3 linked regions of the Caenorhabditis elegans genome follow. The protein of the gene in region 2 interacts with the protein of the main gene of each other region in a pairwise test. Each region holds a gene or a part of one and is shown on either strand. Other genes may lie near its edges.

Region 1 (5,922 bases), on a different chromosome or scaffold from region 2:
TGGAGCCATCACATCAACACATCCATCGCCAATTCGATCCATCATTGTTTTTGCGGAAATCACACATCTGGCAAATCATGCGGTATAAGCCTTTCTCAACGAAAAGTCCATAAATTTTATAATTTTCAGCAAAATCAAATTCTGCAAGAGTTAGTTGAGCCGAGCGAGAACAACTACTTCACGGCGCAATTCCTGCTCAATTTTAAAACTGTAAAAATAACCACCAAATCAAAAAAAAAATTTTAATTTTCAGGCATGCGACGTCAAATTCCGAATCGAATTCATTGATCAAACATCACGAAAGCAGTGGAAAGCGTATAATGTGACGACACTTCACTTCACAGTTCGCGAGAAATATTCATCGGTCGGATTCGAGCTGAAACGAGTCGGACATCAATTTCCACCGGATCCCAGGAGGCACTTTCCGAAAGGATCGTTGTTTCATGCTGAGGCGTGAGCAGAGAAATAGAGCATATCGTGAATAATTTTGAATTTGAACCATTTTTCCTTCTTTTTTTATTTAAATCGACACAAAAATAATATTTATTTCGATTTTAAAAATAACTAGAAATTGTTGAAACTTTAATGAAATTAAGAGTGCCAATTAGCTTGATGAGGTAAAATTGTCTCACCACGATTAACAAACAGGGTGGTCTTCCGTTCCATGGGCCGAGCACACCGAGCACAACGACGACAGGAGGTGGTAGCATGGGCAACTGAAAAGTTTCAGATTCATCTAATGAAATTAAATTTGAATTCAAACAATACCTCCATCTAATGCTGCTCCAGAAATGCTCTTCATAGCGTTATCCTGTAAAACTGCAAACTTTCGATCGTATTTCTCATGAGCTTCTCGCCAGGCAGCTTCAACTCTAGGATCCGGTTGAACAATTATCGGACGGCTTTCAGTTTTGGTCAATGGGTACAACATTTTCGAATTTTCATGCAACTGATCTCTCAATTTATCATATTTTGCTCTTCGATTATCTCTCATCACCATATCATCATGAGCTTGACGAGCTTTAAATTCTTCCAGCATTCCAATTGATTGTCTGAAAAAATCTTATTTTTGGATCATTCGCAGCGCGGTTTTACTTCGTGGCCGTGAAATAAGAAGCCTCGGTCAAATCAGTGGCCGAGTTTTTCCTTTTCTCTAGGCCACGTAGCAAAAACCGTTCTGCGTGAAAAAGAAAACGAACTTGAAAGTCTGATTCCTTTCAACTTGATTTGTATGTTTTAACCCCTTCAATCGAGCATCTCTCCATCCATGTTCATCTGGTCTCTCAGCCCACCACAACCAATTTTTATCCGACGGAGCACCGACTCTGCTCATTTCCATTTGGAATTCCAACTGTTTTCGAGCCATTTCTTTAGCATGTTCAATGGATTTTCGTTCCGCTTCTCGAGCATTCGCAAATCTGAAAACATTATAGGCGTAGGTAGGCGTAGGCACTTGAACAGGCATAGCCTATGAGTGCGATAAGATTGAGGTAAGAATGAGGTTCGCGTGTAGGCAGGCATGAGGTAGGCCGCCAGGCCAGTTGGCAAAAACCATGGAATAGGGATAAACTAGGCATATAGGCAGGCAAAATATACGCATGTGATAAGCACAAAGGCAGATAGACATGAGGCCTATAGGCAGGCTCGTAGGCAGGCGTGAGAAATGGAATGGGTAGGATAGATATGAAATATATATATATAGATATGGAATATGTAGGTTTGAATTCGACAATCACTGTAGCCGGCGTGAGATAGGCAACAACTAGGCAAGAGGTAGGCAATCAGGTAGGCATGAGATAAACATTTGGCAGGAGCATTGTGAGGGACCGGTCTTAGAGAACACTTAGGCAAGGTAGGCATGTTCTACAAATGAGGTAGGCGTGGGATAGGCATATAAGGCTTGAACTAGGCATGAAGGTGGTCTAGAGGAAGAAGCCTACCTAGTGCCTTTTCAGTTCTTGCCGCTTTCAAAACAAAACGGTTTTTGAAATTTGTGTGCGACATTAAATTTTAGATTTCTCTGTATGAATCTTGGATCAAAATACTAAAAACAAAAGTAAACAACTTACTCCAGCGCGGCTCTCGCATTGCTCGTCGCATCAATCGCCTCATTTTTCTCAAATTCGGCAATCCGTCTCAATCGTTTCTCTTCGACTTGTCTATCGAGTTCTGCTCGGTATGCATCCTTCCGTGTACGCACTTCAACATCTCGACTTCTAGGAGATTCGTGTCGGAATATATAGTTTTCCAGCTGAAAATATATACAACTGACTCTGAGAAAGAACATTAAAGTGAACAGATTGCGTACTACTGGGGATTTAGGTCTTCTCTTTTTCATCTCAATCATTTCAGCATTCACACGATCGACATGATCTCGAAGAGCTTTATTCCGTTCCGCTTCTTCCTGAAATTAAAAAAATTTATTGTAGAGAAATTAATTATTGAAAATAACTCCCACAATAGGTCATAACTAACCCTTTTAAAAGTTTCTTCCTTTTCCCTTGTCAAATCTTCATACATCTTTGCTCTCTTCATAGTTTCTTCATATTTTCTCCGTTCCTCTTCTGCTTGACGTCTCATTCGATCCATATATGCATCCTCGGCTTGACACTGAGCACAGATTTCATTACCGTAATAGTCTTCATCAAATTTTGTAATTGTTGCTTTGATTTTCTGAAAACAAATTTTTGGTTTTTTAGTGAACTTCTCGTCGTTGGCAAATTTGGTAATCGTACCTCATTACCACTTTCGAATCGAATATTCCCCAGGTTTTGTTCAATCTCAATCATAGGATCCTGATATTGTCGCTCTGCTCCGAATCCATTCATTACACCTCTATCCACGTCTCTCCCAATATTCTCTCCCAAATTGAATTTCATGTTCATTGGAGGTGTAGATATTCCACGTGGCATTGGATCGTTCGGATAGATTTCCGATGGAAGATCCATTTTATAACGATCAATGTTGGGTAAGGAAGTGTCAGCACCACCCATAAGATTGGCGGGAAGAACTGGAAATGCTAGAAAAAATACAGGAGAAAATATTAATCTTTTTTTTTTTGAAATATTGAGATTTGTTGCTAACCTGGCAAATCGGAGATTTGCTAGTCGAATTAAAAAATGTTAAAAAAGGAAAACTTATAAGTTACAATGAAAACACATAAACTTTTAATAAATCGTAAGAAAAACTATGAAAACTTTGAAATTACAGTACTCTTAAAGGCACACAATTTCCGCATTATGAAGAAACCTACAGTAACCCTGATGAAGAAACCTACAGTAATCTCACCTAAACTCGCATCATCTCTTCCAAAATTCGAGATATTCGCCGGAAGATCCATCATTTCTCGACTGGGATCCGGATCTGTCAAATAATGATGCATCCCGGCAATTGGTGGGGTTCCATTCATTGGTGGTGGTGTGTCTAAAGGTGAAACTGAAAATTAATTATTTGTTGTGAAATCTGATTTTCTTAATTCTACATTGTGTTGTATAATTCTTCATCATTCTCGGCTCATCTGGTGGACGGAATCGTGGAGCTTCAAAGTTATCCAGTGCTTCTGAATTCATCGTTTAATTATAGTTTCGTAAAAGATTCGACATTTAATTTTAAAGGCCCACGCTGCTTTTCCAAATGGGTCCCGCCACGATCGCAGATATAGTAGTGTTTCAAATTTCACATATTTGTTGATTTAATATAGACAAATAAGTTTTGTAATTAAGAAATTCCAATTCCGCAAAAAATGTTTTTTTCTAATCTAAAACCAATGCCGGAGGGGGGGGGTGTGCGCCTTTAACTGATTACGGTAGTTTAAAAAATCGATTTCGCAACTTTCTTCTATTTTTATAGGTTTTTTGCTGTTGGTTTATTTGTATTTTGAAATTTTTTGGTCAATATCAAAAAGGGAGCAATCAATTAAGAAAATTAGAGGAAACAACTACCGTACTCCGCTTAAAGGCGCACACGTCTTTTCAAGAAAATAACACCATTTCTTTTGTTTGTTCCAGGACCCAGAAACATAATTTCTATCTATATTCACTTCACATGATTCAAACCTCTTATCTTATCAGCTTCACTCGGCTCTCGATTTCCCATACGATCATAAAAGTAGACTTTTCCGTACCGCATCCGCAATAATTATAATAGTATTTATATAAATAGGAGGTGTCCTAGAAAATTGAAAAACGCTAAACTAATATAATGACTTGTTGGCGGGTGAGCTCCCTCCGAGATTCAGAATTAGTGCACACTTCACTGCACCAACTAAACTTCCGTAGGTATCTACGAAAAGCAGATCTGCACCGGAAAAGAGGTAAACATTCAGTTTTATTTATATTTACTTTTACTCAGCCTACAAGTTTGAATTTTGCTTATGAAAAGTTGAAACTTCTTCGATCCCAGCATACTAGAGGTGTTCCCAGTTTTCTCAATGCTCAACAAGTGCATAGTATGCACTGCATACCGGAAACCACATTTTATTGGTCGAATCGCTGGGTATACCAGATTACATGCAATAAATTAGGGAAGGCAATTGGTGAGGGAAATATAATCACAGAGTGGGAGAAAAGACGAGATGGTGAGAAGGCACTTGGGGTGGTTTGGGCAGAAGACGGGACGCTTTACTCGACGGTAACTGACTTGGCCAAGTTGCGGGGTCGGTCGACCTGAAAATAGATTATACGTGTACATTTCAAGATTAAGACGATTGTAAACTTACATTAGCTCCATTGAGCTCAGCAATGTGATATGAGAGTAGCTGGAGTGGAATGACTGTGAGAATGTTTTGGACACAATCAACAGTTTTTGGTACACGAAGAATATGCTTCATTCCAGCGAGATCGCCTTCTGGAACGGTGCAGTCGGCAATGATGATTGGAGCTCCTTTGCGAGCAACGACTTGTTGAAGTGCATTCAACGATTTCTGAAAAAATGATTTCAATCAAAAAACAATTCAGCTCATTCTTACCTTGTATACGCGATCGTTACAAACAACCATGCAGATGCTGAGGAACTCATCGACCATGGCAAGTGGACCGTGCTTCAGTTCTCCAGACATGATTCCTTCGCAATGCATGTAGGAAAGCTCCTTGATCTTGAGAGCTCCTTCGAGGCATGTGGCAAAGTTCAATCCTCTTCCCATGATGAGAAGTGATTTCTCCTTGTAGATTTGTTTGGCGATATCAAGAACTTTCTCGTCGAGTTGGAGAACTTCGCGGATAAGTTCTGGAAGATCGTTGAGAGCGTCAATGATCTCTTCACGTCTCTTAGCCATGGAGATTCGGTCATCGGAGAGGGTGAGAGCAAACATAAGCAAGGATAGGATCTGAGAAGTGTAGGCCTTGGTAGAGGCGACTCCAATTTCCGGTCCGGCGTTGATGTGAATTCCGCAATGAGATTCACGGCAAATGGATGATCCGACAGTGTTGGTGACTCCAATTGTGAGAGCTCCACGTGGCTTGCAGTATCTGAGAGCCAACAACGTATCGGCAGTCTCTCCACTTTGAGAAATGAAGAGACATACATCATCACGGAAGATTGGGGTTTCACGATCCAAGAAGTCAGAAGCAAGTTCGACGACGACTGGCAGCTCAGAAAGTTCTTCAAGGATCTGACGGCATGCGATGGCAGAGTGATAGGATGTTCCACAGGCTACCATAATCAGACGGCGGCAACGCTTGATATCAGGAAGGTACTCTTTGATTCCTCCTAGAACGACTTGTCCCGATGGAAGAACACGTCCACGCATTGTGTTGACTACCGAATCCGGTTGCTCGAAAATCTCCTTCTGCATGTACGTTTTGAAAGATCCCTGAAAAATATGTTTTTATTCAAGTTATTCCCATTTTCCTATGCAAACCTTCATGATCTCCTGAAGCTCCATCTCGAGAAGCTTTACTTCTCTCTTTTGCTCTCCATTGTCAG
Region 2 (2,886 bases):
AATTATTCTAATTAGATGGAAATTTGGACTTGAAGTTTTCAAAGATCTAAAAATTCCCGGTGCTTGATCGCAATGTGTCCACCGTGCTTATCGAGCCAAGATGCACATATCGCGAATTAATTATGACTGGAACAACACCTGTAATATCCCAGTTCCTCGCCATCTCTCTGCAATTCTCTGCTTTGCTCCAAATTTTTAGAAATCCTGATCTGTTACATTTATCACATTTTTGTAAAATGCAAACATCTTATTGTGACTATGAAACCCGCATTTTAAAAATGTATTAATTCTCGCAAGACTTTAAATTCTCAACTTAAAAAAAAAGACTTTTTCTTTTTTGAATAAAGTTAACTATTGTTTTTTTCCTTATCAGTTGCTCGATATTAGTCTACCTCCCACCTTAACTGTGCGGTAGCATCATGTTTCAAATTGTCACATTGTTCACGAGGTAAAAAACATCACGTCACTATTTTCCCGTCGCTCTCACCTTCTGTCAACATTAGTAAATAGATTTTTTTCGTTCCAAATGTAATGTTACGGTTCATTTCTTTTTTCTCATATTCAATTCAGTGACTCAGTGTTACTTGTTCGTACCTTTATTCGTTTACAGAGAAGGAAATGGATGAAATTCAGTTCAACATAAAGGTAACTAAATCACGAGAAATTGAAACCAATATTATGAGATGATGGGGAGATTTTTTGAGAGGAAAAGAGCATTTGATTGAAAAAAAGAATACGATCCGAATTGCTGATGATGGCGTCATGATTGTGAAGCTTTGCATGATAAGCTTAGTAGGCGAGGATGACGTAGCAAGCGTGGATGATTCCGGGAATATATCCGAGGATGGTGAGAAGAATGTTGATGGCCAAGTGGTAAGTGCATCCCTTCTCGAGCCAGACTCCGATTGGCTGAAAATAAGTTGTTTAATTTGATTTTTTTTGAAAGATTTGAAACTTACTGGAAGAAGCAGAGCGCAGAGGAACTTTGGAATGTCGGTGCAAGTGAGAGCCATAGTTGCAATAGTTGAGAGTTCTGAAAATGCAATGTAAGTAAAAAGCCAACGAAAAGCAAAAACGTAAGTGAATAAACGAGAAGATGGGTTTAAAGCATTATCGACAAAAAGACAAGGATGTATATTTCAGCAAAAAATGAAAAAGCTGTTCTCTATCATGTTTTATACGTTGGAAAGTTGAGTCACCTATAGAAACTTCAGGGGAAATGTTTTTATGTTTTTTTCTTGGGTGCACTGAAAAAATGTTATATTTCATAATACTAAGCTGCGAAAGTCTGTTTTTTTCCGCATAACTGAAACAGCTGAAACGTCATGCTTCAGAGTATTAGCTAAAATCAGTATGCTCAATTTCTTAAAACGCAAAACTTGAAATTTTGGCAACAAAAAGTACATATCATTAGTTTATTTTTAATTATTATTTTCAGTTAAACATCATTATTGTTTGTATTGTTGTGACAAGGATGAATCAGAAAACCATTTTTTCAAAGTCAGAATTTTGCAATTGTTTGTCAAAAGGAGTGCCAACATGTTTGCCTATGAAACTTGCTACCAATGGAGTCTACAATACTACTAATATTACATGTTTTGAGAAAAAGGGTTTTCTGAGCAAACAAACGTTCAATCAAAAACAGTTTTGCACATCTCATTTCTATATAAAATTCACAACTGGCAATCAAAATGAGATACGAATAAAAACAGCGTAACGCTTTATGATAAAAATCCATGGCAACCGGGATTAGTGACTTCTCAGGCCTGTCTAGTGAGGAGACGGAGAGGAATAGTCGAATTTGCCATTTGGTTTTGAAATGATTGGGGTTTGAGAGAATAGCGAACGAAACGGCAGATTTCTTGTTTACAACGCAAAAGAGGGGGTGCTTGACATTGAAAATTTGACCTTCTTGCCGTTTTGCAGCGGGTTTTCAAAAAAATCTAAGAAAGGGAAAGATATTTTTTGACATAATAAGAGTCAAACCGAAAAGTCACCTGATACGTGATTAACAAGCTTTCCGAGCGGAAGAAAATTTATTTTGGGAGCTGAGAAACTGAAGTTTAGACTTACAATATTATGAAATAGCTAGCGCGGTGGAAACAGACTTAATCAGAATATAGAAATTGATTTCGTCTTTCTGCCTCGCTAAACAATTTGAAAAGGAGATTTAAACTATTGCAACTAGATTAAGCACTAAAGGAAATTGAAAACCAGAGCGTTGCAATGTGAAGTGTCAGAAAAACTGCATAAGACCAAACAAAACTAGAAAATGGAGTACATCTGTCACTTGCATACTAATGAGAAATGTAGAAAACAAAAAAGTGGCGGATCAGCAGGTGCAAAGGGCAACTGAATGAGGAATGCGCGTTCGCTTTTATAGTGCCTCAGAGACCGAGCAGGGGGGGGGGGGGCACACACAACGTAGGTCATTTTGGCGGGCATCGTGTGGTCCCCCGCCTGTATCCAAAGATCAAATGTTTTTTGAAAGTAATCCTGTGGGAAACCGCAAGAGAGAGGGAAGAGGGGGATGAGAGAGGGAGAGATACTTGTTGTTGTCTCTTCACCCAAATGGTGCACATCTTTGTGGTGCGTTGAGGGGAATCTGATCATCTCTAAGACATCAAAGATTGAATAAAAAAAACATTCACTTTCGAAAATTGTTGCTGAGGAGAAGACAAGGAAAGAACACTGGAATGACGTACAGTTAGTCATATTAAACGGTTCCGGAAAACATTTAAAAGTGCTTTGGAATTTATTTGTTTAGGTAATTTTTGTAGTTATTTGTGTAGTTACTGTTGTCCACTATTTTTTTGCTTTTCTATGATTCACCAGAGACGTTACAAGCAAAGCATTTCGGCTCATTTGTAGACTTCCGAAAGAACT
Region 3 (3,673 bases), on a different chromosome or scaffold from region 2:
TTTTGTGAAAAACTGAACGATAAACGTTTTACTTCCTTTAATAAATTTTTTGAATATAAAATGGCCAAAATTAATCTTTTATTTGGAAAATCTTGGGCTCACTAGCAGTGCAAAAAAAGAAACTTACTTGTTAGAACTGCCTAACAACAGTGATTCGTTTTGTGAATAAATAGGATCTTCCGAAGACATTTTCTTATATTTTAACAAAAGATAAACTTATCAAAAAGGGTTGAAAAATGAATATAGTTCGTTTTGAAAGAATTGGGTTCGGCAGCAGGCTTGCTTCGTAGACATGCAACAAGGAAGTATTCGTGAAAATCTAAGAAGTTGAAAAAGTTGTAATCTTTAAAAAACGTAACTGTGATCTTTATTGCCTCTCGTCTCGTAAATCACGGAATTGAAGAGATGTGCATGGCAGTAGAGCATGTCGGTGGTAACGATACAGGTGAAAAGTAGGCCAAATTTGTATTTATCAGTTTACCGAAAGATTTTTAATCAAAAGATTTCTAGATTTTTAATATCGGAGTTTTCTCCGTTATATATTCAATCGTTCTTGCTTTACGCTTATTGGAAGTGCGATATAATTATAATTATTTTATTTCATTTTGAAGATGTTGAAGAAAAGAAGCAAAGCGATGCAAACGGCGCGTTTGCAAAATGTCTTATTTTAATATACATGCATACAAAGAAAGCACATTATCATTTCATAATTAGAGCTCTGATCGCAGAAAACAAGCGAGAAGTGCATTGCGAGATTTCCAGTTTTTCCACATCAGTTATTATTTTCGAACTCCACGAAATCCTGAAAATAGAGTAATAGTTAAATTAAATTTTGGATAAGAAGCACAAAAACTCACAATCAAAAATGTGGCTCCCAGCAGTATCGCTTTGAGCTTGACATCAAGGTCGATGGGAACTGAAATTCTTTCAACTATTCTTTCACTTTCAAGACTAACTCACAGGTGACTGCAAAAGTGTCGGCATCGGTAAACGCTTCACGCAATAGTCCACCCCACTTCTTGGTTATTGAGCCAATTGGCACGGAGCTGTCGGGAGTTTTGATCTGAAAAGTATGGAGTATTTTAAATTCGGCAAAGTCTTGTCACCGTAAAATCCTTATCTTCACAGCAGCAACTTGTGCAACATCCTTGACCATCAACTAGGAAAATCAGATTTCCATCTTTATCCAAAATGTTATAGAATGAATTCGTGCAACCATATCCTTGAAGGACAGTACCCAGAAGGCCAGTTGATAGTGATTCAATGGTGCATATGTTTTGAAGACCTAGCAAGCATCCACAAAATGAGTCTGCGCAGCATCTTAATTCTCGTTTGACGATGAGCACATTCTTAACAAAACAAATGTTTTAAAAACTTAATTTAAAAGAATTTTCAAGAAACTTTAGGAATGTTTTCCTATTATTACACATCCCATGAAATAATCAGGAGTTAAAAAGTGATAAGAACTCAAGCTTCATGGCTTAGAAATCTGCATCTCTAGGCCATAACTCACCTTGTTAAAATTATCCACAATGTGCATCGTAAAACCTCGTTGCGATCCACAACACTGTCTCTCCCAAGCGTTGGATTCTTCGAACGCATAGTAACACTGCTGTCCATTTTTATTTCTAATAGCATACTTATTTTTACTCTCCCATCCAGTAAGAATCTCAAGAACCTCCTTCACTTGATGCACCATGACCGTGTCCAAGTAGGCAAGGTATTCCAACCCTGCTGGGATTCCCTCAATCGCTGGAAGTGCTTCCATCCAAATTGCTCCGGGAGCTGCTTGTATAGAAGCTCCTGGTTCAGTTGTTATGGCTCGGTCTTCAATTTCAACGTAATCAGGTGGTCCATTATAAAATAGTTGATCCATTATTTCGAATCTGAAACTTATAAAAAACGGGTTGCTGATTGTTTGAAATTGCGCTTAACTAAGCAAAGATTGGTCCGAATTCTTAAATTTCATTTTGTTACAAAATTGGTGCTCAAAAATAGAAAAAATAGATAAAAGAGTTTACTGACTACTCAATAATTTTACTCGGCTCATCGAGCTCTAAAACTGATAAAAATAGAGGTAAAAAAAATTTCGTCGAAATAAACACTTAAAAACGCATATTGATATTTTATAACTCATAAATCCGTGGGGTTTTCTTCAAACACTACAGAAATTACAGTAAAAACTATTGCTTTAGATCGAAAAAAATTGCTGAACAGTTGAAACCGGAAAACTGGTCAAAAGTAGGAAACATTCGTTGTTTTTATTGATGCTCAAAAAACATGAAACAGAGAAAAAGCGGGTTCAGAAAGTGGGACCAGCGAATGTGTTCGGAAAGTGAGAGGCGCATAGACGAAGAGGGAAGCTAGACACACATACTTTGAAAACAGCACAAGGTTCAGGGTACTCGTGTACTAAAAATTGAGAGAATTTTTTCAATTTATAACATTTTCATACGAGAATTCATTTGCAATTACCTAGAAGCTACCAGGGGTCACCACATTTCTCTTGGGAATTATCGAAAATTTATTCCTGAGTCATCAACTAACATTCCATTTAATTCCCTCATAAACTTTATTCATTTTCAGTCAAAATGTAAGTCAGCAGTTCTCTTCGTCTTAACATATCCTCCATGTCTTGGCTTATGATCCACATCATCATCGAGCCTCTCCTCGAACTCTGAAACTTCTACAGGAGCGACATGGGTAGCTGCAACCGGTTGCTTCACACTCTCCAATTCGGATTTAGTTTCGTTAGTGGAAACAGAAGCGGGGGTGTACTTGGATGGTTTGATCTGCAATTTAAAAATTGGAAAAAAAATCAATAACTGTTTTTGTAACTCACATTTTTCCACTCCTTATCAAACTCATCACTTTCCACAGAAACCGATGGTTTAGCTCTACGAGAACTGTGCTCCGTCTCGTGTCCTTTCTCCAAAAGTGCCAACATAGCTTCACGTTCCTCTTCAGCTTTACTGATCATCTTGTGTTTTCGTTGCTTGGCACACACGTACATCCAAATAAGACACAGGGCAATACAGAAGCACCAAATGAGAAGGACAAGGAGTAGGATGTAGATAAGGATGTTCGCATCGATTCCTGTAAGAAAATTGGTAACGGTATAGCTGGCAACAGTGCTGACGAGTTAACTTATAGTTAGTGTAGATACTTTCTCCAGAATGTTGTCAGCTTTCTGGCGCAGTATTTTAGATAGGTATGTGCTAGGGCTTCCATGAAGTCGCCGCAACGGCGCATCCGCTGGCCTCAGCGGTCACCGCGCCGGCCTCACGGCGTCACTCAAGCCGCATGTATCCGAATGTATAGTGAACCCCGACAGTGTCGGCTGCTTCAAATAACTGCCTTTTTGCATTTGAATATATTTTGAATACACATTCGAATACACAGCGGTATCAGCGTGAGGCCCGCATTTCGCGCCTCACTCAGCTGGGATTCCTAGTCTGTCCAATCATTCTTTGGTCGCAGGCGGCGCAAACCCACTAGGCCTTTATCAATTAATCTCAAATTACCAAATTTCAAACGCGCACTACGTGAAAGCTGGTGGAGTTTGCCGAGCAGGTCGCAATTAGGTCTGATCTGCTCAGTGTGCCTTAGATCGACGAGGCGTGATCGCCTACTCCTCGTGCCAAATTCTAACCTTCCTGGGCATCCGGATCAC

What was found.
Region 1: the proteins of T23F2.5 (region 2) and F07A11.1 interact in a two-hybrid assay, tested with the Caenorhabditis elegans proteins (one large-scale study listed by BioGRID).
Region 3: the proteins of T23F2.5 (region 2) and scrm-2 interact in a two-hybrid assay, tested with the Caenorhabditis elegans proteins (one large-scale study listed by BioGRID).

What each region holds. Positions count from the first base shown.
Region 1 is NC_003280.10:11,587,933-11,593,854, forward strand, and holds F07A11.1 (uncharacterized protein), read right to left. Parts: upstream 4,192-5,922; 5' UTR 4,129-4,191; coding exon 4,056-4,128; intron 3,560-4,055; coding exon 3,482-3,559; intron 3,436-3,481; coding exon 3,289-3,435; intron 3,011-3,288; coding exon 2,736-3,010; intron 2,674-2,735; coding exon 2,476-2,673; intron 2,405-2,475; coding exon 2,309-2,404; intron 2,252-2,308; coding exon 2,070-2,251; intron 1,946-2,069; exon of another isoform or gene 1,796-1,945; intron 1,419-1,795; coding exon 1,200-1,418; intron 1,053-1,199; coding exon 769-1,052; intron 717-768; coding exon 592-716; 3' UTR 502-591; downstream 1-501. Other genes in the region: ints-7 (Integrator complex subunit 7), read left to right, coding at 1-82, 130-210, 254-457; gfat-1 (glutamine--fructose-6-phosphate transaminase (isomerizing)), read right to left, coding at 4,620-4,664, 4,718-4,921, 4,967-5,809, 5,858-5,922.
Region 2 is NC_003284.9:5,516,128-5,519,013, forward strand, and holds T23F2.5 (UPF0057 membrane protein T23F2.5), read right to left. Parts: upstream 1,037-2,886; 5' UTR 1,014-1,036; coding exon 960-1,013; intron 910-959; coding exon 790-909; 3' UTR 581-789; downstream 1-580.
Region 3 is NC_003279.8:13,233,570-13,237,242, reverse strand, and holds scrm-2 (Phospholipid scramblase), read right to left. Parts: upstream 1,896-3,673; 5' UTR 1,877-1,895; coding exon 1,514-1,876; intron 1,350-1,513; coding exon 1,107-1,349; intron 1,064-1,106; coding exon 961-1,063; intron 917-960; coding exon 858-916; intron 803-857; coding exon 773-802; 3' UTR 580-772; downstream 1-579. Other genes in the region: ZK1053.2 (uncharacterized protein), read right to left, coding at 2,583-2,792, 2,843-3,096, 3,653-3,673.